Ovis aries: one gene and its partners. The protein of the gene in region 1 purifies or fractionates together with the protein of each later gene. This does not show direct contact. Links are inferred from orthologs where the notes say so. Each region holds a gene or a part of one and is shown in the gene's direction. Other genes may lie near its edges.

Evidence for each region.
Region 2: the proteins of CCP110 (region 1) and CEP97 purify together in Homo sapiens (co-immunoprecipitation; 10 studies listed by BioGRID and IntAct, with this or other methods). This does not show direct contact. The link is inferred for Ovis aries from reciprocal best matches to the Homo sapiens genes CCP110 and CEP97.
Region 3: the proteins of CCP110 (region 1) and NEURL4 purify together in Homo sapiens (affinity purification with western blotting; 4 studies listed by BioGRID and IntAct, with this or other methods). This does not show direct contact. The link is inferred for Ovis aries from reciprocal best matches to the Homo sapiens genes CCP110 and NEURL4.
Region 4: the proteins of CCP110 (region 1) and CCNF purify together in Homo sapiens (affinity purification with western blotting; 7 studies listed by BioGRID and IntAct, with this or other methods). This does not show direct contact. The link is inferred for Ovis aries from reciprocal best matches to the Homo sapiens genes CCP110 and CCNF.
Region 5: the proteins of CCP110 (region 1) and CEP290 purify together in Homo sapiens (co-immunoprecipitation; 6 studies listed by BioGRID and IntAct, with this or other methods). This does not show direct contact. The link is inferred for Ovis aries from reciprocal best matches to the Homo sapiens genes CCP110 and CEP290.
Region 6: the proteins of CCP110 (region 1) and CEP76 purify together in Homo sapiens (co-immunoprecipitation; 4 studies listed by BioGRID and IntAct, with this or other methods). This does not show direct contact. The link is inferred for Ovis aries from reciprocal best matches to the Homo sapiens genes CCP110 and CEP76.

The regions. Positions count from the first base shown.
Region 1 is NC_056077.1:17,602,260-17,607,135, forward strand, and holds the start of CCP110 (centriolar coiled-coil protein of 110 kDa), read left to right. Parts: upstream 1-1,599; 5' UTR 1,600-2,038; intron 2,039-3,501; 5' UTR 3,502-3,643; intron 3,644-4,876.
Region 2 is NC_056054.1:166,991,852-166,996,127, forward strand, and holds part of CEP97 (centrosomal protein of 97 kDa), read left to right. Parts: intron 1-419; coding exon 420-584; intron 585-1,478; coding exon 1,479-1,603; intron 1,604-2,263; coding exon 2,264-3,041; intron 3,042-4,276. UniProt on the Homo sapiens protein: Acts as a key negative regulator of ciliogenesis in collaboration with CCP110 by capping the mother centriole thereby preventing cilia formation. Required for recruitment of CCP110 to the centrosome.
Region 3 is NC_056064.1:26,921,941-26,926,907, reverse strand, and holds the start of NEURL4 (neuralized-like protein 4), read left to right. Parts: upstream 1-1,616; 5' UTR 1,617-1,622; coding exon 1,623-1,910; intron 1,911-2,835; coding exon 2,836-3,280; intron 3,281-3,317; exon of another isoform or gene 3,318-3,474; coding exon 3,475-3,540; intron 3,541-3,683; coding exon 3,684-3,982; intron 3,983-4,155; coding exon 4,156-4,267; intron 4,268-4,355; coding exon 4,356-4,444; intron 4,445-4,967. Other genes in the region: uncharacterized protein LOC105607811, read right to left, coding at 1-482. UniProt on the Homo sapiens protein: Promotes CCP110 ubiquitination and proteasome-dependent degradation. By counteracting accumulation of CP110, maintains normal centriolar homeostasis and preventing formation of ectopic microtubular organizing centers.
Region 4 is NC_056077.1:2,457,710-2,462,546, forward strand, and holds the start of CCNF (cyclin-F), read left to right. Parts: upstream 1-1,886; 5' UTR 1,887-1,952; coding exon 1,953-1,968; intron 1,969-3,012; coding exon 3,013-3,167; intron 3,168-4,314; coding exon 4,315-4,421; intron 4,422-4,837. UniProt on the Homo sapiens protein: Substrate recognition component of a SCF (SKP1-CUL1-F-box protein) E3 ubiquitin-protein ligase complex which mediates the ubiquitination and subsequent proteasomal degradation of target proteins.
Region 5 is NC_056056.1:124,433,352-124,438,276, reverse strand, and holds the start of CEP290 (centrosomal protein of 290 kDa), read left to right. Parts: upstream 1-1,576; 5' UTR 1,577-1,664; intron 1,665-1,774; exon of another isoform or gene 1,775-1,949; intron 1,950-2,465; 5' UTR 2,466-2,493; coding exon 2,494-2,595; intron 2,596-2,739; coding exon 2,740-2,817; intron 2,818-4,925. UniProt on the Homo sapiens protein: Involved in early and late steps in cilia formation. Its association with CCP110 is required for inhibition of primary cilia formation by CCP110.
Region 6 is NC_056076.1:43,546,851-43,551,126, reverse strand, and holds the end of CEP76 (centrosomal protein of 76 kDa), read left to right. Parts: intron 1-1,437; coding exon 1,438-1,655; intron 1,656-2,044; coding exon 2,045-2,183; 3' UTR 2,184-4,001; downstream 4,002-4,276. UniProt on the Homo sapiens protein: Centrosomal protein involved in regulation of centriole duplication. Required to limit centriole duplication to once per cell cycle by preventing centriole reduplication.

The DNA.
Region 1 (4,876 bases):
AATCAACCCTGAATATTCATTGGAAGGACTGATGCTGAAGCTGAAACTCCAATTTTTGGCCACCTGATGCGAACAGCCGACTCATTGGAAAAGTCTTTGATGCTAGGCAAAAGGAGAAGGGGGCAGCAGATGAGATGTTTAGATATGCATCACCAATTCAATGAACATGAATCTGAGCAAACTCTGGGAGATGGTGAAGGACTGAGGATCCTGGTGTGCTGCAGTTCATGGGGCTGCAAAGAGTTGGGCATGATTCAAGGACTGAACAACAACAAAACAGTAGAGCAGGTATAATCAGATTGTAAAGCTGGAAGGGATTTCAGTAATGCCCTCATTTGATAGATGAAGAAGCTGAGGCCAGGAGAAGTGAAGTGAAATGAGCTGATAATGGCAGAGTCGGGACTAACATCATGCTACCCAGTTTTATGCCATGAAATTTCTACTGCTACTCCTCTTAACCTTACTTCTTCTCCTACTAAGGTCTAATGATGGGGGTTCTGTACAAGGAACTGCAAGAATTATCTCAAGTATTCCTTACAACTACTCTTGTGATAGGCACATTTAAATCTCTCATTTTATACACGAGAAAATTGGCATGGGAAAGAGGGTAAGAGAGGCAGAAAGTAAGGCCAGTTTAGGAAAGGGGCTAGCTGTTAAGTCATATTTTGAAAATGCCAACAAAAATTGGCAGTTGCCATTTGCCTCTGTAAGGGTTAAATTATTAGCCACTGCAGCCACTGACCTTCAACATATCCTGAAAGGAGTTCAGGGTGGAGATCAGGAATGAGGTACTTTGTCCTCTGGGAAAAATTGGGTATTTTCAGAAGATTTTATGAGCCCAATTCTTACATCTCCTCCTATCTAGAAAAGCACTAAAATCATTAATGGTGGTATCAGCTCCTCATGGCCAGCGGAAGCCTCTGGCAAAACGTGTGCTTGACTTCACATATCCCTTTCCGCTAAAATCGTACTGACCTCTCTTCCTGCCTCTCTGGGGGCAGTTTCTCAGAACTATCTGAATTGCTGTCTCCTGAGTAATAGTCCTCATTTTTGTCCCAAATAAAACTTAACCTACAACTCTTGTGGTATTTTTTTTTAAGTTGACAGAAAACTGGCAATATGTTTGGACAGAGAACTTTGGCAAAACATTCTGAGCTTTTCCTGCCATTCTTAACCTGCTGCCTTCGTTTCTTGGAGGTATTTTCCCTGTGATTTGCAAGAGTAGGCAAGTGTTGAAGCTTCAAGTTGTGGCATCTAGGATTCAATCATTTTTTTTTTTTAAGAGAGAAAAAAAATTTGGTGCCTACTGTATGTATTCCAACGATTGTACAGAAAGAAGTTATCTCTTTACAGATAAGTGAAAAATAGCAGCTTCAAGGAGCATTTCTCGAGGCTTCAGCTCCTAACGAAAGAAAATTTGAGAGCGGTCAGTGAGGACTACGCTTCCCGGCGTGCACCGCGCCTTCCGTAAGAACAACGCCTTCCATCGCTGGGCCGGGACGCGTAAACCAGGCGCGCACAGCAACTCGGGGATTGTAGTTTTCTGAAGGCCCAACCGGGCCAACGGACCCGGAAGCAGCCACCGGAAGTTCTGGCCCTAAGAGGTGGAGTCCGGAGGTGGGGGTGCGGCGGCGGCGGCGGCGGCGGCGGTGGCGGCGGCGGTTGCCAGGAGCCCGCGTTGCCGCCAGAGTACCGTAATATGGCGGGGAGGAGAAGGAGAAGGCGGCGGCGAACGGAGTTGTTTTCAGTCAGTACCAATTGAGCAGTTTGCTTCCTACCAAGGCCAGGAGCTAGGGGAGGAAACCTGCCGGGACCGTGGGAGAACAGGTGTGTGCCTAAGAGTGGGCTTGACTCAGCGGGTCTCGGCTGCGAGGCCGCAGGGCGGGCGGAATTGGCGCGCTGAGGAGCTGAAAGAAACCCGAGCGCAGGGGCTTCCGGACGTCGAGCCCCTGGAAAGACTCAGGCTGTGTGGAGGCGGGTGCCCCGGGGGCCTGCGGCATCGGTCGCGGAGGTGATGTTCAGATGCTGGCACCGCCTGGTGGGTCCTCGGGATGGAGCTTTATCAGAGGAGCTGGGGAAGGTGGACTTGGGGCGCTGGGGAGACGGCAGAGGGTCCCCAGTAAATAAAATCAGACCAAAACTGGGGAACCATCTCCTGTTGATAGAACTGGTTGGGCCATTTTTTTTTTTTTTTTCCTGGCAAGGGGAGCGTCCCAGGGTGTGCACTGGCCATTTCTGAATGCCAGTTATCACCAGCTAAAGGGCCTAGGCGCATTCTTCATCCTGCGTTTGTGACTCTCTGGGGGCGCAAGGAGAAGGATAAAAAAGCAAATTATCTTTATTGGCCCTCATGCTACTAGGTGGTTTCCACCCTTTGCTTCTACCTGGTTATAACCCCAGTTCCCTGCTCCCAATTTAAGCAATGGCAGGCACCTAGAGTTTGACTTAATGAACGCAGCAAAATGAGGAAGCTGAGGTCCCCCTTTCCACGTTTTTTTTAAAAAATTTTATTTAGTTTTTAATTGAAGGATAAATGCTTTACAGAATTTTGTTGTTTTCTGTCAAACCTCAACATGAATCAGCCATAGGTATACATATGTCCCCTCCCTCTTCAACCTCCACGTTTTTAAGTTAAATTTGAATCTTACCAGAAACTAAAGCACTGTCACTGGCCTCTAGGAATTCATAAACTAGTGGAAAAAATAGTCGTCATCATTCTCTTCCTAATGAAAGTTACTCCCATTCGTTGCTTTCTGCATGTCCTATTAATGAATCCACACAGAATCTCATCAAAGCAAATACTATGATTATACCTATTTTACAGGAAACGAGGGATAGATATGGTAAGTGAATTGCCAAGAACATTCAGCTCCTGTGTGCCTGAAAAAGAAAGCTTCCCCTTTTTTTTTTTGCCCCTTTGAAAAGACTGATGGGTAAACAAGTAGCTAGGATGTGTAAACAGGACATGTTCTGTGTTCTTTCGTGATTCCCTTCAGTGACTTTTCTGATGGAGCACTGAGGAGGAGCAGGTAGCAGAGTTGTGAGTCTATGGGGTTTGCAAAGAGGCTCATTTGGAGAAGGATCCTAGTTTAAGTGGAGAAGACAGGCCATGTCTGAACTTGATGCAGCCAACAAATTATTAATTCAAGTGGACCAGTAATACCTAGTGGTAAAGTATGGGGCAGTAGATTTGTGGTTGCAGTGGCCTTGTAATCAATGCTCCCTTAAAATAAAACCCTGTTAACAGAGGTAATTGTGGCATGAGAAATGGAGTTCCCTGTTGCTTAATTACATAGGATTCCGGCTCTCGATTTTTAAATGGTTGCCTTTGCAGTTTAGAGGTACCATTTTCTCTGGGAATAGTGTCATCAATGAAAGTCCTATTCTCTAAATTCCATTCTTCCTTGCTAGCTTCTTTGCAGTGTAGTCTACTGTCTTCTTTTTTCTGATTTACTTTATTATTTGAGCTAACTATTCTGTTTATTCAACATTTTTATGAAGTGCCTCCTGTGTACAGACTTTGTCCTATGTAATGGGGATTCAGTGGTGAGCAAGACTGAGAAGGTACCTGTGCTTATGGAGATTACATTTTGGTGGAGGAAGACAGACAAAACCCAAGGAAATAAGATAATTTCAGATAGGGGTAAGTGTTATGAAACTTGGGAAACAGCAGGATAGTGTGATAGTGAATGACACAGGGTTCATGCTATAGAGTCACTTGGTTATTTTCATAATCATGATATTATCATAGGCCATAAGTTATGCGGTAATAATAATATATTGCTGTATGTCTGCAGTGTGTATGGCAAACATATACTGTTTAAGGGATGTGAATTTAACTTTCTGAAGCAATGAGGCATATTTATATGATGTTGAAAGAAATATAAAGCTATTACCATAAAGATATTTTATTTCCTTAAATTTCCCAGACCTTCCATGCTTTGCTTGTGTATCCATTGGAAGTATATTACATTAATTGTATGAGTAATCTATTTTTGTTTCTTGTAATGCTGGATGTGTGGGTTGTGTTAAAAATTCTTTTGAAGCATTTTAGTAGAGAGGGGATCATTTAATTTTCTCTTATATCTTAGCTTCTGCCTATTCTAATTTTTAATATATAATGTGGGTTGAAGCCTAGACTAAATGAGGCCTGCTTTGGTTATCATGCAGTAAGCTGTTTTGTATTTTATTTTCTTGTTTTATGAATTTAAGTTTGCAAGATAATCTCATTTATACGCTAGAGAACCATTTCTTTGAAATTAAGTTCTCAATTTGCATAAATGAAAATAGAAATAATTAGAATTGGTGGGATGGTAGGAAGAAGTTTTGCTATTAATAAGACTACCAGAAAAAAAAAAAGGACTACCAGTTTGTCAAAAGTAGCAATAGATCTTATTTTCTCATAATGTAATCATAGTTTCATGTGTGATTTTCCTTCATTTCCATTTGTGCTATTGTTTGTCCTGGATACATTAGAGTACTAAATTTTTAAGTACCTTGAGGCTTAGGGCAGTATCATATTGTATCTTATTTCATCTTTGCATATCCCACGTCATGAATTGAATTTCACTTCCCTGTCTCTTTTTTTTTGTTGTTAATTAATTGTTTTAAAATGAACACTTAAAGGAATATTATCGTATTAGTTTTTCAGTTTTCACAATTCATATCCTTGTTGGTTATGAGTCCAGTGATAGCTCTTTCCCTTTCCCTTGCTTATTTAAAGGAAACAATGCCAGACATAATACTGTGAAAACAGGCAATCAAATATTTAACACATGCTGGATGAATGAATTGGTAGCTAATCCTTCCTGGTTACCTTATATTTTCGTAGCCACCATCACAGTTTTCCAGAAATTGTGAAATTACTGGACTGATT
Region 2 (4,276 bases), on another chromosome or scaffold:
TTATCAGTTTTTAAAGATGATGAGATGGTAGCTCACTAGCATCCTTCAACTGTGACCAGTTGGCTTTAAAAAAACTATCATTATGAACTAGTGAATTTAAACACAGTTTATGTATTTAGGTACTTCAGTTTGACAGTGAATGGAGGGAATACTTATTGCTTCTTTGAAGATAATTTTAAAATATTTGGAACCATTTAGTACAAATCATTGGAAGTGCCCCTAAGCAAGAAAAAATGTTTAAACCATAACAAGAATAAGGAGAGTAAAGCAGAGGATAATTTTTCTTTTTAACTGAAATGTTATTCATGAAAAACATCTAGTGATGCTGGAAAGGCATATTAAGAAGGAAGATCATTACTGCCTGAAAATGTATCTTGTCTACCCCAGTGCCAGCCCTTCTTTCTGTCCCCCAATTCCAGTTTAAAAGCTGAATGGCTATATAGTCAAGGCAAGGGGAGAGCGTATCGGCCTGGCCAGCACATCCAGCTTGTCCAGTATCTGGCTACAGTCTGTCCTCTCACTTCTACGCTGGGCCTTCAAACTGCAGAGGATGCCAAGCTAGAGAAGATTCTGAGCAAGCAGAGGTGAGCGCATTTATCTGTAGCGGCTGATGCAACTTTCCTGCAGAGTTAGCAGGATTGGAGAGAGTGCTGCAGCCACATTTCTGGACCCCTGGGGCCCTGGTCACCACAGTGGGCTTTCAGAGGAGCCAAACCACGCAGTGCAATCTGGTTTCCTCCCCAGTAGCTGCATTGCTTACTAGTCATTTCCTGAGTGGGGAGAGCCTAGCAGCCTGGCAGCCTGGGATTTAAAATAACTTCATTTGTTCTTTTAATGTGGGTGTTTTACATGGGCTTTAAAATACTAACATTATAGAGACTTCCCTGGTGGTCCAGTGGTTAAGTATCCGCCTGGCAATGCAGGAGTCATAGGTTCGATTCCTGGTCCCGGAAGATGGCGCATGCTGTGGAGCAGCTAAGCTTGTGCACCACAGCTGCTGAGCCCGAGCTCTAGAGCCCGAGCTTTGCAAGAGAGAGGCCACTGGCAGTGAGAAGCCTGTACACCAGAACAAAGAGTAGCTCCCGCTCACCACAGCTGGAGAAAGCCCATGCACAGCAACAGAGACCCAACGCAGGCAAAACCAAATAATAAATAAAGCTTTTAGAAAAAACGTAAAAAGAAAACTAACGTTATATATACTAGAAGCATTTTTAGTAGTCACGTCTTTCATCAGAGATCCTGTCTTTGAAGGTTTGTGTGTGTATATTTATGATGGTGTCTGACTGTGATTTAAAAATAAATTTCTTAACATTTTCTATCCATGAGACTTTGTAATTTTGAGGTCATTAAAGGTATGTACTCTGAAAACTTGTAAACTTCTCCCTTCTTGACATTGTTACCTGGCGAATTGTTGAAGGAAGCAGAGAAGCTTTCTTTTTTTGATTTGTGTGAAATCACATAGGGTATTCTGATTTTAGATTTCACCAGAGGCAGTTAATGAACCAGAGCCACAATGAAGAGTCGTCTCCTGTTGAATCAAGGGCATCATTTGTGCCAGAGCATTCCAGCCCCATTCAAGATGGCCAGGTAGTCCCAGAAAGCGGTAAGAAGTTAACTGATCTCCGGTCCTTTTTTGTTTGATCTATTTGGTATCATAAAACAGGAAACAGTACATATTTTCAGAATGTTTTACTTGTTAGCTCAAGTGAACATTTGGATCTTTTATTTTATTACATATGTATATTACACAAATGGCAGCTTCCCTTTTGTCTCAGTGATAAAGAATCCACCTGCCAATGCAGGAGATGTGGATTCAACCCCTGGGTCAGGAAGATCCCCTAAAGAAGGAAATGGCAACCCACTCCAGTATTCTTGCCTGGAAAATTTCATGGACAGAGGAGCTTGGCATGCTGTACAATCCATGGGGTCATGTCGCAAAAGAGTCAAACACGACTTAGTGGCTCAACAACAATATACACAGACATCTATAACTATTAAATGTCTTAATTTTCGAAAACATTCAGAGGACTGCCACCTTTTGACTTGACCTAGTACTTTGATTATTTTTATGATTATTGCAAGAATTTAGTTTCTTAAAAATATTTGGTTTGATATTTTAAGGCATTTTGGAGGAAATTACTGAAATAATTTCATTGCCTTTTACTATATTTGAGGGATTAAATTTCATTAAAGGGATACAACTGAAAAAAAATCCCTCCGTAAATATTTAATGTTTCCAGTGACATTCTGTTGATTCTTTTAGAACCTGTCATCCAAGTCAATTCTTGGGTTGGGATAAGCAGTCATGATGACCAATCACATGCTGTTAAGAATAACTTTCCAACCTCTGTACACACTGCAAGATATTCTCGAAATGACCTGCACCTGGAAGACATCCAGACCGATGAGGACAAGTTAAATTGCAGTCTCCTCTCTTCAGAGTCTACTTTTATGCCAGTTGCATCAGGACTCTCTCCAGTATCACCTACAGTGGAGCTGAGGCTGCAAGGCATTAACTTGAGCCTAGAAGATGATGCTGCTGCAGATGAATCTGTGAAAGGGCCAGAAAACCAGAGCTTATCAAACAAGGAAGAGGAAAAGGCTTTGGGGGCTGCAAATGAGAATTCTGTTCAGATGACAAAAAGTGCAGTTGGTACAGAGGTAAATGAGAAAGATGGACTGTTAGCTTGTCCTGAGCCAACAGTCACCAGTGCTGGCTTGAAGGATCACACCCACAGTCTTACATCTTTTCCTGAGTCAGTTGGACACAATGTCTTCCATATGCAGCCAGACAGTGAAGAAGCCAGGTCTCAAATAGCTTCAGAGAAGCTTCCCTGCAGGCTGTTAACCCAGAAATCTGTTCCGTTGGGACAAGATAAAGTTGCCCTCCAGAAACTGAATGAAGCAGCCACCAAGCTTCAGGCCTGTTGGCGGGGCTTTTATGCCAGGAACTACAACCCACAAGCTAGAGATGTGCGCTATGAAATCCGTCTTCGCAGGATGCAAGAACACATTGTCTGCCTAACTGGTGAAATAAGGAGGTGGGTGAGAAGTCCGTTTTAAGGCTTTTACTGTGAAGATGCTGTTTTGTTGGTTTGGGGGTGTCAGATTCTTAGCTTTGATTCAGAACACTGAATCAAACTCTAGTGTCTGGGACACTTTCCATACCATGTTGCCACTCTAGGTTTGTCTCTGACACTGTACTGAAAGCAGCTTGAGAGCAAGGACTGCAATACGTGCCTCCGTATCTAGTGCTGAGATTGGAATATAGATGCAGCATAGCAGTAAATGTTGGATGAAATGCATGCCTTATGGACGTCTATGTACCTAAACACAGAAGATACAGAAAATATAGAAAAACTGAATGAGTATAAAAGTGAGACGATGAGGAAGTCTACATAGAACCCAGTAGATGACATAAGAATTAAGGAAAACAGTAGGGACTTAGAAGGGGTTAAAATTTGGTGGCTATGGTGGAAGTTATGTGTTCATTCTCTGGCTTACATGTTTTCATGACTGTCACCCAGGGAAATTAGGATTTCATAGATTTATTCTGAGTATCAGGACTGCACCTGTCAGTATTTACTGGGATTAGCAAGTGGGAGAGGAGGAAGAGTAAAAGGGACTGAGAAGGGACAGCCAGAGAGGGAGGAGAACTGGGAGAGAGTGTGTCCCAGCTCCAGCAGGGCCATGTTTCAAGAGAGAAGAGAGGTGCTGTAACAGGACCGAGAACTGTATACCAGATTCAGCAACTGGCAGTGACTGTGTGTTGAAGGTCCCCAAAACTATGCCCAGGTTTGATTTGTAAAAAGGACTCTTGACTCAAAAAAGCTATTCTTTATGATTATGTTTATTAGAGTGAAAGGATATAGATTACAGTCAGCAAAGGAAGAAGACACACAGGGCAAACTTCTGGAGAGACCAAGTTCCAGCTTCTAGTTGTCTTCTTCCAGTGCAGTTTTATAGGTGGGGCTCAATTCTTGGAGCAACAATGAGTGAAAACACATGAAGTATTGCCAACCACGGAGCTTCCTCAAGCCTTGGCATCTGGGATTTTTATTGGCGGACAGTCACCTAACCTAGGTCAGTCCATATGACTGACCTTAACTACTCAGACCTCAGCCGCCACCCAAGGTCAAACCAATAACATTGTAGCCCAGGGTCTCAGGTGAACCAAACTGGTATTCACCATAAAGCACATTGTTAGCATAAACCAAGGTCTCAGAGGTACAAAGGTGCTCTAATCAGGCAGGATATTCCAAAGGTTTAGAGGTTA
Region 3 (4,967 bases), on another chromosome or scaffold:
GGGGATTTGTGCACCGTGATGGAGCTGCTGTTTTTTAGGATGCTCCGGGGCCGGTCCTCACAGGGTCTGTCTTGGCGCATGCAAGTTGACTCGGATATCGTAATGTTTGCCGAGTTGTACAACCCAGACGCCCCGGACCCCGGGTTGAACGTCCCGGATACACTGGTTCCAGGGAAGGGGGGATTAAATCCGTCAGGTTTTGTACGGGACCCAAAGCTGTGGCCCGCGACTTCCCCAGGATGCTGGTTGAGCCCGGTACCGAGGACTGCTGTCCCTCCGGAGGGCTGGCTAGAATCAGGACTGCGAATTATAGTTCCCCCATTGTGCGTGGAGGGCCCAGAACCGTGAAACATGGTTACTCCGGAGAGCAACCCGGCGCCTGACTCGACTCCTCCGATGCCTCCTGGCACCCCCCTGATACCCCCACCAGGGGATTCTCCATTGAGGCCGCCAGCAGCCCCCACACTTTCCTGCTTCTCCATGGCCCCACTAGGGGGCCACTCTCAGCTACCTCGCCCCGCCTCCCTGCTCCACATAGCCCCGCCCCAGGCCCCGCCCCCACTGCGGCTGGAGAGGGACGCTTGGGCGAGGCCTGGGTCCCCTCCCCCACCGCTCCCTGGAGCAGTGGGGGGCGGAATCAAAACTGTTTAGGGACCTCCGACTGGAAGCCTCTCAGGTTGCCCCTCCCTTTCTGTCCCACCCTAAAACCTTTCTTTGTCTTTGGGATTTGTTCCCGCCCTTCTCCCCCATCACCCTTATCCGAATTATCCAATCATAGTCATGGTCCCGGACGCCGTGCGAGAAACCTAATTGTGACGTCACACACAGTCCAACTGAAGCGTGAGCATCTAGGGAGTCTTGCTGGGGGGTTGTTGATAGCTCTGGGGGTGGCTGTCTTTGAGGGCTGTCAGCGTCGTTGCCTGAAACTACCTGCCAGGGTTCCTTTGGACTCTTTATTCGTGGCTTTAAAACCTAAGTTTGGTTGAACTAGAGTTCAAGATGGGCTTGTCTAGAAACATCGCGAACTCTTTTCGCCCCAAAATCCAGCCCGCTCTGTTTCTGCGGAGAAGTGGAGGGATTGCGACACTGTCGAAAGACATATCCGGTCTCAAGTGGTACGGAGTGTGACCCTCTTTATTTACAAAGCTACCTCTATGTGCTCAGGGCCCGCTCACACCGCTTCCGGGCGCTTGGAGCGAAGGAAAGCCCCCTGCCTCCTCCTGCCGTAAAGCGAATACTTCAAAGTGTTGCCTGTCCTCGACGAAGGCAGGGTCGTCGGTGTCGCAAAGCTGAAAGTGTTTGGGCACTACCCCTAAGTCGTAAAAGTGCCTGTGGCAGTCGTTTCTTCCACTGTCGCAAAAGCTCCCGGCCCGTCTTCGCCCCTCTGGAGCCACTCCGTCACCTCGCCCGTGCCGTAAAGCAAACCTGCCCGACTCTGTCGTCCTTTCTCTTCCCACCGTAGTAGTCCTTAGTTCCTTACTCCGGGATGCTTTATTGCCCGGCACTGCCGTAAAGCATATCTGGCCCCAGCCCCCGAGTCCTATTCCCCCAGGGCGTCTGTGCACCGCGGTTGCCACGGTGCCGCCAAGCGCGGCTGTCGCGCGGCCCCGGTGTCAGCGGCGATGGCGGCGGGGTCGGGTGGGAATGGGGGCTCCGGGGGAGGCCCCGGGCCGGGGCCGGGTGGGGGTGGGGGTGGTGGCCCCGGCGGGAGCGGCCCAGGGCCGGGGTCCGGCGGGGGTCTGGGCAGCGGCGGGGAGCTGCACCCGCGCACCGGGCGCTTGGTGAGCTTGTCGGCCTGTGGGCGTACAGCGCGGCGGCAGCAGCCAGGCCAGGAGTTTAACCACGGGCTGGTGTTGAGTCGGGAACCCTTGCGCGATGGACGCGTCTTCACCGTCCGCATCGACCGCAAGGTGCGGAGCTGGGGCCGCGGAAGCGAGATGTGGAGGGTGGTGGGAGGGGACCAGAAGGCGATGGGGGAGGACAGCTAGGGTAGCCCACATTACCGGATACCGAGAGGGAACCGCTAGCCAGAACACCAGGTGATGAGCAGGAAGGGAGCATGAAGCGGAAACATTAAGTCACAAAAATAGGAGGCAAGGAGAGCTTGATTTTTGTCAAGACTCAGGAGCATGGAAGGGACACGGGGCCCCACCCACTATAATGATTAAAGAACAATCCTCCTGGGATAATTTCTGGGAGACGGAGGATGGAGAGATGTCAGATATGTGATGGAAGGAGAAGAAAGATAACCAAGAAAAGAACAACCACTGAAGGACAAAAGCACACCGATAGGGACAGAAAGATGGGTGAGGAGAGATACTCAAAGCAAGAGATGTGTATGCCTGTGCGGTGATGCAGCGGAAATGCCAGGTGCACAGAGGTAGAATTTGGGAAGAGAGTGAGTTTGAGTGCAGCCAGAGCCTAGGAGAGAGGCCCAGAGAGAAAGAGCGAGCAATATACCAGCGAGTATGGAGAGCTGTGAATTTGACTGGTTGAGGAGCTACAGAGACCAGAGCAATTAGAGATGGCAGGAGCCTGGAGCCAGGGAATTTAACCAGCTTGGTGAGCCAGCGTGGGAAGAGCATGGGATCATAGACAGCGTGCACCCAGAGTACAGAAGAGAGTTGCTAACGGAGAGCAAGTCTAATCATTCCCTGAGACCAGAGTCCAGATAATACTTTGTGGGACTGGATCTCTGGATTGGGGATGTCTTGTATCTCAAGAGAGTAAAGCCCAGTTAGCTAAGAGGTGGGAAGAGGGGGACACAGTGGCCTATGAAGTGTGGGAGACCCATTCGTAGCCCACCCTGAGCCACTGTCCACTGCCCCATCACAGGTCAACTCCTGGAGTGGCTCCATTGAGATTGGGGTGACGGCACTGGACCCCAATGTGCTGGACTTCCCAAGCAGCGCCACAGGGCTGAAGGGAGGCTCGTGGGTAGTGTCGGGCTGCTCGGTGCTGAGGGATGGACGGTCTGTGCTGGAGGAGTATGGGCAGGACCTCGACCAGCTTGGCGAAGGGGACCGTGTGGGTGTGGAGCGCACGGCTGCCGGGGAGCTGCGGCTCTGGGTGAACGGGCGGGATTGCGGCGTGGCTGCCACGGGCCTTCCGGCTCGTGTCTGGGCCGTCGTGGACCTTTACGGCAAGTGCACCCAGATCACTGTGCTCCCCCCTGAGCCGGGCTTCAGCCCCCCTACTCCCAGCCCCACACCTCCCCTTGATCCCTCCGCCCCCCCTGAAGATTCTGCCTTGGCTGAACAAGGGACCTCTGGGGATGAAGGTGAGAATGAAGTTAGGGCAGTGGTGGGGGGACGGGGCAGACAGAATGGCTGAAGGAACGGGGGCGGGCAAGGCAATGACAAGTGAGGCTGGGTGTGGGCTGGGAGAACAGGGGCTAGTGGAGGGGTCTCCTGGCTGTGGTCCCTGCAGCAGGGGCTGAACCCTTATTCCCCTCCCATCCCACCTGGTCCCCAGCCTTCATGGTATCCCCAGCGCAGGCCCGACCGGAGACGTTTCCTAACAGCCTTGAGTCGCATAATGGTGAGGGTTCCTGGGAGGCCTGGGAAGGGGAGCGGGACATGAGGTGGACAGGGGGGGACCTCAGGAGAGGGGTAGGGAGAGCTTGGTGAGCCTGAGACTGAGAATACTCATTTCTGCTCCCTTCCTGTGTCCTGCTGTTGCAGACTTTGCCAGCATGGAGCTCTCCGAGGTGGTGAGCAATGCCATCCTGTCTGCGTACAACGGGGGGCTCCTGAATGTGAACCTGAGCTCCCCCCCAGCAGAGGAAGCACCAGGGCCTAGCGGTGCTGCCACCTCACCCATTGTCACCTCCAACGATGCTCTCCTTTTCCATGAGAAGTGTGGAACCCTCATCAAGCTCAGCAACAACAATAAGACTGCTGAGCGCCGCCGGCCCCTGGATGAATTCAACAACGGGGTTGTCATGACCAACCGCCCACTCCGGGACAATGAGATGTTTGAGGTGTGCAAGGTGTTGGGGCCTGGCCAGCGTCTCACCCTCTGGGAGCTAGAGATGGGGCTCAATCCCCAATGCTAGCAAAGGGTGGAGGTGGCCTAGGGAAGCTCAAAGGGCGGAGAGACTTTTTTCTCTGAGTTTACATTTCCCCTCTCCCTTCCACTGTCATTCCACCCAAGATCCGCATCGATAAGCTCGTAGATAAGTGGTCAGGCTCCATTGAGATTGGTGTCACCACCCACAACCCCAACAATCTGGAGTACCCAGCCACCATGACCAACCTGCAGTCAGGTACCAGCCCCTGGCATGGTGGGGGCGTGGCCTTTGGTCACTGAGGTGCAGGGAGCCCATACCCTAACCAAAATGTCTGCTTTCCCAGGCACCATCATGATGAGTGGCTGTGGGATCCTGACCAATGGCAAGGGCACCCGCCGGGAGTACTGTGAATTCAGCCTGGATGAGCTGCAGGTGAGGGTGGACACAGTGCCGGCCTCTCTCCAGGGGCACCCCTGTATATACCGAGCAGTCCTCCCTGGGCCCCATATTCTCTGATCTGGAGCAAGGCCCTTTATCTTTTGTCTGAAGGGTCCTTCTGAGAAGGGCTTCCCTGGTGGCTCAAATGATAGTCTGCCTGCAAAGCAGGAGACCTGGGTTTGATCCCTGGTTTGGGAAGATCCCCTGGAGATGGGAACGGATACCTGCTCCAGTATTCTGGCCTGGAGAATTCCATGGACAGAGGAGCCTGGCAGGCTACAGTCCGTGGGGTCACAAAGAGTTGGACACAAATGATTGACTTTCACTTTTCCTTCTGAGAAGGCAGGGTTGCCCAACTGTTAAGCACTCAGATTTTGCAGTCAGATGGGTTGCATTCTTCTTTCAATTTGGCCTTTGGTGGTGGTGACCTGTGGCCAGAAGCTCATCTTTTTGGGTAGTTTTTTTTCCTTAATGTCTGAAAATGAGCCTGTTAGTACTATTTGATAGAGTGCCGTGA
Region 4 (4,837 bases), about 15 Mb from region 1:
TGGGGTTCCTGGCTGGAAGCATCCACCTCTTCAGAAACTTGTTAGAAATGTGGGTTCTTGCACCCCACCCCAGCACCGTTGAATCAGAAGTTTGGGAGGTGAGGTCCAGCAATCTGTGTTATGATGCAGCTCAGGCATGAGCAGCAGTGAGCTGGGACCATCAAGCCTGAGTGTGCATGGGTGTGGCCCTGCACCTTTATCAAGAGGGCCCTCCTCCAAGAAGGGCCCGGGCACACAGCTTCTCTTTCCAGCGTGGTCTCGCTAGACCCTCTCACAAGCCCCGCTGGGCTCCTTTGCAGGTAGCCCTCTCCCTCCCTTCTAAGCCAAGCTCCAGGAAGGAGCGTGATGTCTGCTGTTCCCGGCCCTACTTCCCACCCCCACGTCTGGCTGCACACCCACCCCTCTTTCCTATGACTTCCTGTGACTGCTCAGAGCCAGGGCCTCTGCCTGGAGGAGTCTAGCAAAAAAGTTAACGGGGGGGGGGGGGGGGGGGGGGGGGAGAGGGGGGTGGACAGAAAGTACCAAACAGGAAGCTCTAGCCAGTAGGAACACAGGTGTGTGAGAAAGGCTGAAAGCCTGCAGGCCTGGAGGACCCGCCCCTCGGGTTGGAGCAGGCCCCAGGCTTGCTCTGCTCTACCCACTCCTCTTCTGCACGCACCACCCCCACCTCCTCACCCCTGGAACCTCATAGCCACGCTGTGATCATCTGTTCACTTGTCTCCTACTCCAGACTGGCTTGGAGGCTTGGCACCTTGGGTCCTGTGTGTGTTCAGCTGTTGAGCACAGAACCAGTACCCTGATGGAGTTCAGACAGCAGTGTGAGTGAGGGGTGTGGGCACAGAGCAGTTTGATGCCTTGGGAAGAGTGTAAGAAGAGAGCCTTGACCCAGATTCCCTGGCTTCTCTGGGAAAAACCACTATGTCCTTGGCCATCAAGCACTTCTCCCAGAAGTTGCATTTCTTTCCTTGTCAGAATGTCTCACGGAGGAGGTGGGGTGAGAGCTGGTTCCTGAAAGACAAGGCCGGGTGGGCACTGCCTAATACCTGGGTGAACGGAGTGTTGCAGCCACTAAAGCAAGCAGGCGTGCTCTTCTGTTTTAGTGGGCTCCCAATTGACCGCGAGGAGATGGTGAAGACTGACAAGGCCCAGGTGACACGCTGAGGGTTTGCCCTGGGAGGGATGGAGGGGTCCAGGCTGAGCCGCGTTTCAAGGGAAGGAGTCAGACGCGCTGAATGAATCACCCAGGCCTGTTTCTGCCCTGCGATCTATACCAACAGCGGCACGGACAGAACCAAGGGTCTCCTCGCCTGAAGCAAGGACGGGAGGCAGGGCCTTCGGCCTCAGGGTGCAGGCCACTAAGGTCAGGGGGCAGCCTTGGTGAGGTGCCTCCCGCGGGGGCCCGCTCGCCTGCGTCCACGCAGGTCGAAGACCGCGTCGGGGTCCGCGCTCAGAGACCCCTGGCTCGGAAGCGCTGCCGGTCCGCTCAGACCTTCACTGACAACCCACTGTGCGCCATGGGCTCTGGTCGCCGGGATCTCTGCCGCCGACTCAGCGGCAAGGCCGAATCCCAGAATAGGGCAGGTCAACGCGGCTCGGAGGGAAACCAGGAATTCCACTGCCGACTGCCCCGGAGCCGCGCTCCTTCAGACCCCAGCCAGTGCTTGGGAGGCGGGGCGGCCGCGCAGGTTCCACCAATCAACAGCCGGCGTTCGAATTCGCATCCTGGAGCAGCCAGTCGCGGGCGCCCGATGCCGAGGGGGCGTGGCTCGGGGCGGAGCCCGGTGGGGTAGTGGCGCTCGCCCCCCGTGGTGGGCCAATGGGAACGCCCGGCGCGTTTGAAAACTCAGGCGGGAGGCAGGCGGGTCTGCGCCTGCGTGGGGAGGCGCGCTCTGGGCCCGCGGGCGGGTCTGGCGGCTACAGCGGCGGCGGCGGCCACGGCAGCGACGACGGCTATGGGGAGCGGAGGCGGTGAGCGCGGGGCGCGGGGCGCGGTGGAGTGGCCTCCAGACTGAGTGGGGCCCGCTTGAGCCTTTCAGCCCGGGGTTCGGATCGTCCCGACGGCGCCTACCCGGCGCGCGGTTTAAATACCCAGCGGCGCCCAGCTCCGCGAGAAAGCGGCGCGAGGGGACCACCACCTGTGCAGGGCCGTGAGCGCCGCCGAGGAATTTCCGTGGTTATACCGTGGCTGTCCTAGGGCAAGGGAGTGAGGATAATAGGGCAAAAGGCGAGGATTGGTCGAGCTGCGTATGCGCTCGGCTTTCGCATTAGGTTAATTACTGATGGGAAGCCCGGGTGAGGAACGAGGGGAGAGGGCAGGAAGACGCCCTGAGCAGGGAGCTTGCCCGGTGGTGGAGCAGCCACCTCCCGTGGGGACTGGAGGAAGGAGCGGATGAAGAACCGGGTGAAGCGTCAGGAATGGCACCTTCTGCCACAAGCTCCTCTGCTTGGAGGGAGGAAAGAGTTGCTGGAGCTTAAGTTGGAAGGACCCCCCTGTCAGGGTCTCAGAGGACCCTGAGACCGGCGGGACAGCTCTGACATCCACAGAGCTGGGACTGGCCTGCCCTCCAAGTCCACCCTTGGCTTCTCTGCAGGGTGGACCCTCTGAATTTGAACTGGAAAACCTGATTGTTCAAATCCTTATTAACATTTCATGTTTTAGTCATGTGTGCAAATAGAAGCAAAGAAATCAGCTAGAGTCCAGGCGTCTCCCTGGCTAATCATCATCAACACTGTCTGCTCTTCCTTTCTTCCTCGTTGTTATCTGGGCTCTGGGTCAGACGGTTTCCCAATGGCCAGCTTACATGATTACTACTCACTGTAAACATTTATCGAATAATTTGAATGAATGAAGATGTCTCTTATACCACTACGGCTTCTTTATTTAATCTTTGGGACTGTAACTATGGCTGGGGCAGAGGACCAGTAACTGTTAAAACATGTTCAGATGTAACTTTTCATATCACAGTTCATTTCCAACACATCACTTAAACCATTCTGATTTGTTTTCTTAAGTGATCCACTGTAGGTGTGCCAAGTGTTTCTGTTATCCTTCAAAGCGGAGAATAAGGAGGAGACCTCGAAACCTCACAATCTTGAATCTCCCTGAAGATGCGCTCTTTCATATCCTGAAATGGCTTTCTGTTGGAGATATCCTCGCTGTCCGAGCTGTAAGTTGTCAGATGAACACAGTGTCAACCCTGGCATTGTTGATTTTACCACGAAGGCTTCATGTCTCAAATGTCAGAACAAAAACTCTGGCTACCGATGAGGGTAGATGATCCCCAACGGTGATGTTGGCAAGTAGACGTTTGAGGTTGTTCTGACGACAGGAAAGCAAAAACATAGGACAGCAAGGTTTGAGTCCGCTCTTTGCAGTGTTTATTTTAACAGAGAAAGTACCTTTTCCTGGCAGTGAAATTTGAATCCCTCAAGATACGGGAGAGTGTTAAGAAGAAAAAGAGTATGTTCTTGAAGATGGTGTGAAGTAGAAGTGTTAGTTGTTCAGTTGTGTTCAACTCTGTGACCCCATGGACTGTAGCCCACCAGGCTCCTCTGTCCATGGGATTCTCCAGGCAAGAATACTGGAGTAGGTAGCCATTTCCTTCTCCAGGGGATCGTCCTGACCCAGGGATTGAACCTTGGCCTCCTGTATTGCAGGCAGATTCTTTACTGTCTGAGTCACCAGGGAAGCCCTTATGAGGACAAATCTCATATAATATCCAGTGCTGAAAGGGGCTCTGGGCTTTATTGTGCAGACATCAGAACTGCAGCCTCACCCTGAGCCACTTAACCAAGGGCATCCAGCAAATTAGTGGGGGAACACCCACAAGAACCCATTTGTCTGACTCCCAAACCTGCCTCCATTGTGTTCATAACATCTGCAAGTGCCATTTCCAATGGCAGTGGGAGCTTTTGCACTTAAAATGCTTGCTAGTGCCCCCGTTGACCGCCCAGATTCCAGCTGTGCTCCCACTAGCAAAACAGATTTCTGACCTACCCGTTAGCCCTAGAGTCGGTTTCCCTGGTCGTTGCAAGTATATAGCATTATATCCTGTTTCTCAGCCTGGTGCTTACCCCCACTTCCAGGACCTGTCCCCACCTTTAGAACCACAGAGAAAGTTGTGTCTGATTTCTTTTCTCTGTTCAAAGCAACTGCTAGTTAGTTTGATACACAGAGCCCAGGAGGCCTTACTGGTAGGGTCAGAGGGAGACAGGAGATCCTATGTCTGTCTAACCCTGTCTTCAACAGCTCCAGAAGTGGGCCTTCCCTGTAGTCCCTTGATAACCCCCCACCCCACTCCTGTTGTTCCTCAGGTACATTCCCACCTGAAGTACCTGGTGGACAACCATGCCAGCGTGTGGGCATGCGCCAGCTTCCAGGAGCTGTGGCCTTCTCCGGGGAACCTGAAGCTCTTTGAAAGGTATCTGCACCCAAGAGCAGCCGGGCTTCCTCTCACTCCTGGCCTTCCCTGCCGTGCCAGTCTGTCTCAGGGCTGGACCTGGCCATGGTTTTCCTTCTGCTTGTAGGCCTCTGCCAACACCATATCCCCCAGGGAGTGACTGAGCATATAGACCTCACCCATCGAGTCACATGACTTCTAGCATGGTCATGGGTCATCCGCACCCCCAGCTCAGACCTGCCACTCATTAGTCACAGTGGTGCTTCCGGAAGGTCCGCTTCGGCTGTGACCCATCCCGCGTGGCTCAGATGCAGGTCACCTGCACGTGGAAACTTCTTATTTCCCTTACTTTGGTCAGGACCATGTGGTTTGAATCCTAGTGCATTACATTCCCTGGCTGATCCCACCCCCTCCGACAGACCTGGAGGAAGAGCCAG
Region 5 (4,925 bases), on another chromosome or scaffold:
CTCAAAAACTTAAAAACAGAACTACCATACTATCCAGCAGTTCCACTTCTGGGTATATATTTGAAGAAAACTAAATCACTCTTTTGAAGAGATATTCATTCAGCGTTACTTATAATAGCCAACCCATGGAAACAACCTAAGCATAAATGCATGGATGAAAGGATAAAGAACATGTATGAATAGAATGGACACACAAGGCAATATGACTCAGACACACAAAGAAATCTTTCCATTTATGACCTCATGACAACATGGATGGAACATGATGGCATTATGCTAAGTGAAACGTCAGAGAGAGAAAGAAAAACAACTGTGATCTCCTTTATATGTGGACTCTAAAAAAAGCAAACTGACAGAAACAAAGAACAGATTTGTCAACAGGTACAAACTTTCATTTATAAGATAATTTATGGGGACATACGGCATAGTCAAAAAAGGGTTAATGAACAGTGTTTGGTATACCATCTTCCAGTCAAGGACCAGACAAAATGATCACTATTCTACAAAGCCGATGAATGTCTCTAAGTGGATCACAAAATTATGTTATTTTCTACTGAACGGTTTGGAAAGAAATTTTCAAAAGTAAACTTCGGTATCAATTATAGTTAGCAAATGAAAGAAAGTGCTTCAAATTTTAAAAAGATGGATGCACTGGTCCAAACAGTTGAAAATATATTTAGCTTTCAAGTCTACAGCTTAAGAAAGTTTTCCTAGCGGTGTATCACATTCCAGAATAGTTGAGAGCAGCCCGATGGGCAAAACTTGCACAAAGAAAAGCTGCAAGCGTTTAAGGCAGTTGTCAGGGAAAACCACCCTTGGTCACCAAGCAAGTGACAGCACCAGGGCTGGTGAGTACAGAGCAGCCTTCCCTTTCTATCTCCTAGCAGGGGCCTGGGCAAGTTCTAACCTCTCCTCTCTGGAACCTTCGCTCAATCTTCTAGTCCGTCAACCCGCGAAGATAATGGGGCTACAGGTAAGGCGGCCGAGGTCGGAGGATGCAGTGTCCTCTTCCCAAATTCTCACTCGCCCCCTGCCAAGCTCGCGGCCCCCACTCCACTGTACGGAGACAGACTATGAAATCGAAGAAGCTAAGACTTCTGCCTTTTTACAGAGGGCACCACCCAGGGCGTCGCCAGCGAACGCCCAAGGAGAGGGCGGCGTCTTCCCACCTCTTCAGACTCTGGCCGGGCCCCTCGGCCCCAAAGGCAGGAGCTTCTCTCACCCGGGACCGCTCCCGTTACCTCCTCCCCGCCACTAACCAATAGCCCGACCTCACCTGGGAGCAGTTCCACCCGGGGTTGACTTAGAGAAACCTCGGGAAGAGCGGTCCGGCGAGCGACGCCACCGAAGGCACAGTCATGTTCGGCCTCTTTCAGGTCACCAGCGCAGACACGCCTCGGCCGCAGCGCCTCCCGCCTCCGTGCGGTCCCCCCGCACCGCGGTCCCCCCGCACCCCGGTACCGCCGCAGCCTCCCGCACTGCACGCCGGGAACGGCCTACCTCCACTTCTCAGAGACTTCATCGTCCAAAAGTCCCGGCCTCCCAGCAGAACTGCATTTTGGGATTTGGAGTCCTCACCTCACGCCTTCACTTCGTCCATAACACACAGTGCAGGGAACTCGCGCGGGAATCTGAACGTAAAGCATCATCCACGGTCGTGAAATGTAGGCATCGCTAGCATCCGGGCTCTTGTTGCGGCCTCGGCGGGGTGGGGAATGGTGTCGCCTAGCAGCCGCTGTCGCTATTACTCGCTCCGGACCAGTAGGCGGGATCCAGTGTCCGATAGGAAGGGCGCTGGAGAGCGGTCAGGTTTGGCGGCTGGGCCGGGCCGAGTGGGTACGGTAGCTGAGCGGCCGCCGCTGGTTGCCAGGTTTGGTGTAGGTAGGTGGATCCTGGTGAGCGCAAACCGAGTCTCTTCCCACACAGGTTCTTTAACCTTCGGGGCCCAGGTAAGACAACAGCTCAGTTTCCCCGTTCCTTAGCCTCCTGTCCGCAATCGGTTTGCTTGCCTTTCGCTGCAGCCCTGATTTCCCAGGCCCAACTGCACTCGTTTCAGTCGTATATTTCCTCACTTTTTTTTTTTTTCTTAAATCCTAGTTTTTGTTTCTCCGAATCGGGGCTCAACTTCAGCCTTTCAAGCACCCCCGCACTTGGCACCATTAGGTGTTCGAGGTGGTAAGGGGTCGTGGAGGAGCGGGACTCAGAATCTTAGTTCTGACTTATAGTTTAAGCATGGAAGCCTTCGTAATTATTTGACCTATAAAATATCTGATGATTTTTTGCAACTGCTGTACTTTTCATTCAGGCTATTTAATCGACGTATCTGTTACACAATTGAGAAGCAATAACTTTTTGCAAACTCCGTAGAGAGTTGTAACAATGTGATCTGTAACAACTTTAAATTACTGTAAAGACAGTAATGCTACTTACCTTGTAAATGCTAATACCCACTTGTTTTATTACAGAAGGTAAAGCACATTGAAAGAATTCAAGATGCCACCTAATATAAACTGGAAAGAAATAAGAAAGGTTGACCCAGATGAGCTGCCTCGTCAAGAAGAATTGGCAGATAATTTATTAATTTCCTTATCCAAGGTACTTAATTGATAAAGCATAGATACATATATACAACTATGATTAAATTGTCCTTGAAATCACTGAATGGTAACAACTGAAAGAATTATTATATTTTGTTTAAGGATTATAAAATATGAAATTGTTGCTTTTCTCTTTACTTAGGTGGAAGTAAATGAGCTAAAAAGTGAAAGTCAAGAAAATATGATACACCTTTTTAGAATTACTCAATCATTAATGAAGGTTTGTATGCAGTACTTTACTAGTAGCTTTGACTATTAGAGAAAGCTTAAGAATCTCTGCTTAGATAAGTTAATCTCTAAAGCACTTTGTAAAATCTAAATGACAGCTAAAGTTCCTAAAAGAATGTGTAGGGGAAGCAGAACAGTTGTGTTTTAAAAAGCATAGGGATGTCTTACATTAGTGAGTGAAAGTTGCTCAGTTGTGTCTGACTCTTTGTGACCCCATGGACTATATAGTCTATGGAATTCTCCAGGCCAGAATACTAGAATGAGTAGCCTTTCCCTTCTCCAGGGAATCTTCCCAACCCAGGGATTGAACCCAGGTCTCCCTCATGGTAGGCAGTTCTTTACCAGCTGAGCCACAAGGGAAGCCCAAGAATACTGGAGTGGGTAGCCTATCCCTTTTCCAGCGGATCTTCCCAACCCAGGAGTCGAACCAGGGTTTCCTGCATTGCAGGCAGATTCTTTATCAACTTAGCTATCAGGGAAGCCTGTTTTATGTTAATTATGTTATAATTTGTTAGAGTAGCCAACCACTGCAGGGATTTGTTAGGAGAGGAAGAGATTTAGATGTGAGAATACCTTTTACATGCTGGGAGTAATTGGGGGCAGGAGGAGAATGGGACGACAGGAGATGAGATGGCTGGATGGCATCACCGACTCAATGGATATGAATTTGGGTAAACTCTGGGAGTTGGTGATGGACAGGGAGGCCTGGCATGCTGTGATTCATGGGGTTGCAAAGAGTTGGACACAACTGACCCACTGAACTGAAATGATATGTTTTAAGAGCTTTGCTGTGGCTCAGCAGGTAAAGAATCTGCCTGTAATGCAGAAGACCTGGGTTCAATCCCTGGGTTGGGAAGATCCCCTGGAAAAGGGAACAGCTACCCACTCCAGAATACTGGAGAATCCCGTGGGCTATATAGTCCATGGAGTCTCAAAGAGTCAGACACGACTGATCGATGATCACTCACTTTCATACCTTATAAAGGTCAAAGACTGTTGAGTAGTTTTAGGTAAGTGGAGGCAGTGGTAAAGTGTTAACGAGCTTCTAGCGCTGGTATGCATATGTACTAAGTCACTTTAGTCATGTCCGACTCTTTGTAACCCTGTGGACTGTAGTCTGCCAGGCTCCTTTTGTAATCCTATGGACTGTAGCCTGCCAGGCTCCTCTGTGCATGGGATTTTCCAGGCAAGAATACTGGAGTGGGTTGCCCTGATCTCCTCCAAAGGATCTTCCTGACTCGTATCTTTCACGCCTCCTACATTGGCAGGCAGGTTAGTGCCATCTGGGAAGCCCTCTAGAGCTGAAAGTGAAAAGTGAAGGTGAAAGTCACTCGGTCCTGTCTGAATCTTTGCAACCCCGTGGACTATACAGTTCATGGGATTCTCCAGGCCAGAATACTGGAGTGGGTCGCCTTTCCCTTCTCCAGGGAATCTTCCCAACCCAGGGATTGAACCCAGGTCTCCTGCATTGCAGGTGGATTCTTTACCAGCTGAGCCACAAGGGAAGCCCTCTAGAGCTGAAAGTTACCGTAAATAAAAACTGGGGATAGGAAATATGCATATTCTTTACATTTGAGGAGACAAGTGCAGAAAGTTTACAGCAGGTTGTAGAAGAAACAGATGTTGGATATGGTTTGGAATAAACTGTCCAGGGCCTTAAAGGTATATCTTACGCTCAACAGTTAGAAGCTGTTAAAGGTTTTTGAGCTATACAGTTGCCTTCAGAAGGTTAAATTAGTTATATTAAACAACACATTAAAGAGAATTGAAGCAGTTTAGACATAACATTATGTAAGAAGTTAGACATAAAATTATGGGCTAGAGTAATGAAAATTAAAATAGAAAAAAGAGATAGCTGAAAACATTACGAAGGGAAAGTTGCAAAGCTTGATTTCAGACTTGAAGGAAAAAGAGGAATCAAAGATGTTTCAAACTTCTAGGAATCTAGAAATTATAGCCTTAAGTAAGAAATTCACCTATTCATTCAGCAGATATTTGCAGAATGTCTCCTTGTGCCAGGCACTGCAGGCCCTAAGTAGTAGGACAGTAAATAAAACTAAATTCTTATTTTTAGTGCTTATATTCTGATGTAAAGGCATA
Region 6 (4,276 bases), on another chromosome or scaffold:
TGTATTGCCTTTTACTTTCTTAGCTCCTGTTTGAAAATGAAACTGACATTTTATTTTTTATTATTTTTATTTTATTTTATTTTTACTTTATTTTACTTTATAATACTGTATTGGTTTTGCCATACATTGACATGAATCCACCACGGGTATACATGCATTCCCAAACATGAACCCCCCTCCCACCTCCCTCCCCATAATATCTCTCTGGGTCATCCCCGTGCACCAGCCCCAAGCATGCTGTGTCCTGCATCGGACATAGACTGGCGATTTGATTCTTACATGATAGTATACATGTTTCAATGCCATTCTCCCAAATCATCCCACCCTCTCCCTTTCCCTCTGAGTCCAAAAGTCCGCTCTACACATCTGCGTCTTTTTTGCTGTCTTGCATACAGGGTCGTCATTGCCATCTTTCTAAATTCCATATATATGTGTTAGTATACTGTATTGGTGTTTTTCTTTCTGGCTTACTTCACTTTGTATAATTGGCTCCAGTTTCATCCATCTCATCAGAACTGATTCAAATGTATTCTTTTTAACGGCTGAGTAATACTCCATTGTGTATATGTACCACAGCTTTCTTATCCATTCATCTGCTGATGGACATCTAGGTTGTGAAACTGACATTTTAATACATTATAAGAACTACTTGTTTAGAAAAAAGAGAACAAAGCTGAGCTGGATGCCATAGATGGTTGCTTGCTAAGTTAATGGTGTCTATAAGCCCACAGGTAAGAGTCACAGGAAGAAGATAAGTGATCCCTACTTGAAACCAGTTATAACAGAATGTGAGATTAGATCTGTTATAATAATCAAAATATTTAGAATTTTTAGTTTGTAGCATTAAAAAAATTACATGTCAAGGTAGCAATGGTTCATTTGATGTCATAGTGAAATTATAATTGCCTTCAGCATGTCTTAAGCTCCCAGAGGGCCTGTAGCTTCTGCTTTTTGGTGTCTTTTACAGAATAAATGCTCAGTAAATATTTGAGTTTAATTATATGTGCAATTTGTTGACATTTCTCCCCAACTACAGTTCAGTTGATAGTGGGAGTAATCAGGTTAAGCAGATTCAATCTTGTGAAAGTCTTTAAAGTTAAATAAAATTTGACCTCAGAATTCCTTGACATGTTGTCTTCCTCAGTAGGACAATTCCTTATGGTCTTTCCTTGTGGATATTAAGGGAGTTCAGCATTTGCAGCCTTCACTAACATCATTGCATTGGCTGCCTTTTGTTATTTCTCTAAGAAGTAAAACCTGATACCTGTTTTTCCTTTTATGATTTTTACTTCTTTGTATCCTTATAATAATTAATAGGAAGTTAAGAAAATTATGACAGATTTTAAAAATCTTTTCTTGGCATACATTAAAATAATCAACATTATAATTAGTTTCTTTAAATATTGTATTTTGCTTTTTCCATTTCAATTGCTGTAGGACCTTGGCCTCACTACTGTCTGGGAAGACCAGCTTTCTTATCTCTTGTCACCAGCTCTGGCGTCTTATGAATTTGAGCGTACAACAAGCATATCTGCGGGCAATGAAGAGTTTCAGGATGCTATCAGAAGGGCTGTGCCTGATGGCCACACATTTAAAGGGTTCCCAATACACTTTGTGTATAGAAATGCGAGGCGCGCGTTTGCCACATGTCTTCGGTAAGGTGGAATTTATGATGTCTTGGTGTTTTTAACATAATTTCAGTGAACACTTGGCACTAATTTAGGAATGACTTCAGAGTCACACAGGGAGCTTCTGTAGTGACCTGTCCTCTTGCCTCAGACTCTGATTCATTAGGGCCAGAGTGTAGCTCTGGAGAGCTCAGGGTCGTTTTTCTGCCAAGGATCACTGATCTTGTCTAGTGTAATTTAAAAAACTTAATTGGCTATGAGGAAATAGTTTATAATTTGAATAGTTTTACCACAGTTGCAGAGTCCTTGATAACAGAGACAGGATTTTTAAAAATCATTTTCAATACCCGACTTTCTTGGAAATAAAGTAAAACCTAAATTCATTTCTTAATTGAATCCATTTTCTCTCTTCTAAGGTCTCCTTTCTGTGAAGAAATCATCTGTTGCCGTGGAGACCAGGTGCGCCTGGCAGTTCGTGTCCGCGTGTTTACTTACCCTGAATCTGCTTGTGCTGTTTGGATCATGTTTGCTTGTAAATATCGCTCAGTACTATAGGACTAAGTTTCTATAAGACTATACCTGTGTTTTATTAGAATTTTACACATTGTGTTGATAATAATACTAGGTGTTTTGAGGTTCATTACTTTAAAAATCACAATCTGGCTTCGATGTCATATTTAACTTTTATATAAGCCTCACTAATAATGTTTGAAAAGTATCATGATGTGTGTTTAAAAATTAAGGATGAAAAACTTGTATAAATTTGAGAGGATGGTAGTATAAATTAAGTGTTTATCTTATTTTAATAAATACTACTTTGCTTATAAGTAGTCAGTAGTTTAAATATGAAAATAAAATTTACTTAGTTTTCTTTGCATTAACAGGTAATCAGAAAGTTATTTGCCTAAGGATTTGAGCCATAGTGAAGTTAATACGATCATTATTTTTCATAGAGTAATGGGATTATTTTATATAAATTAGGAGAAATTAACTTCACAACATTTATTTATTACATAGATGAAATGCATTTTGATGAATTTACCACTTTCGTGGTTTACTCATAACTACAGGGATATTTGTGACTCTCTAGAGAGTTATGGGAAGACATGGGTGCAGGAGCAGAGAAAAAACTCATACCAGAAAAGCATTATTATTAGTAACAAACCACACATGAAAGTATACAAATAATTTATAAGTATTTGTTAGTTTGATTCATTGTAAAAGTGAATTGTGTATTTTATTATTTTTTTTGCTTATTTATTTTTGAATTATTTTAGAAAAAATTTATTATACCCTTTAGTTGTATGTTGAAAATTGTTTTCTATAATTGATATTGGCAGTCTGTTGCTGATTTTCTGTGGTCACAGCATTCTTTACTAGCCTCTCGTGGAGTTTATCTTTTGAAATCACAGTTTTTGTTTCTTTCTTTTCTCTTTATGATAAAAGCATCCATGTGTATGTGGTGAATGTAAATCAGAGAATCATCATGTGAGGCCACTGAAAAACGAGCATCTGTGAGTGCCTCCATGCTGATGTTTGTTTTTAAGTTGAGAACAGTGCACTTTGAAGAGGCTGTAGTGGTTTAAACTTTGTGAGAAGCTGCCTGATGGGATTGCCTTGCCATCCACCCACCTCTCTGTACAGCTCTCATTCTTTCCTGCAACCACTGGGCTTCTTATGAAAGTGACTATACCAAGTGGCTGTGCAAGTTATGCTTTTCATTGCTAATTCAACATGGCAAATAAAATGATATTTTAGAAATTAAAATCTAAAGATACTCTAAAATTTACTTTTTAATTTTTACATATGTAATTATTTATGATATAACTTGTTTTAAAAGTCTGAAAATAATCTCTCATACCAATTTTTATTGAAAATGACCAGAAATCAGAAGTTTCTTGAGACTGACATGACTTTAGAGAATCAGCAAGATAAGAATTAAGACTTTTTGGTCTGTTACCAGAGTTACTTGCAAAGCTATCAACAGGAAAAATGGCTTGTAATTTTCAGCTTTTGGAACAAACTATTTGTGAGGCATGTACTAGGAGGCAGACTGATACATGAGATCATGGCTGTGTTTTCTTTGAGGCTGAGCTTCCTGCATTACTGTGCCAGAGTAACACATGTACTTGTAATGCGCCTTTGGTGTAAATTCTAAAATAAATTTCCTTTTTACGCACTTTAATAGAGCCTGGCATGAATTAATATTTTCCTTTAAAGATGGTTTATTTCCAAATATTATTTCAGTCTTTTTGTCACTAGAATTCTGCTACTCTTCTTACTAATAATTTCTTTTTAAAAATTAAATTTACATTGTATATTTAGCTCTGTCATAAATTGTTTTTCTATTAAAATTGTAAACTTTTAAAAATATAATGCTTCTAATGTGTTCATTTTGACAGTATGTGCACTAACATAGTTCTCTAGACATATGTAATATATAATAGTTATTTATATAATAGAATGTCAGAAATTAGAAACTTCATTACTCAAGCATAAACTTGTTGAATAAAACTTATAAAATTCAGTTTCAACTAACTGAACACTCCAGGTGCCCTTAAGATTGTTTCTAACAATGAGGTGGAGATTTTTAGCTATGATCAAAAACATCTTTAACCTGTCAATTCTGGGAGGTACACACATTTGAA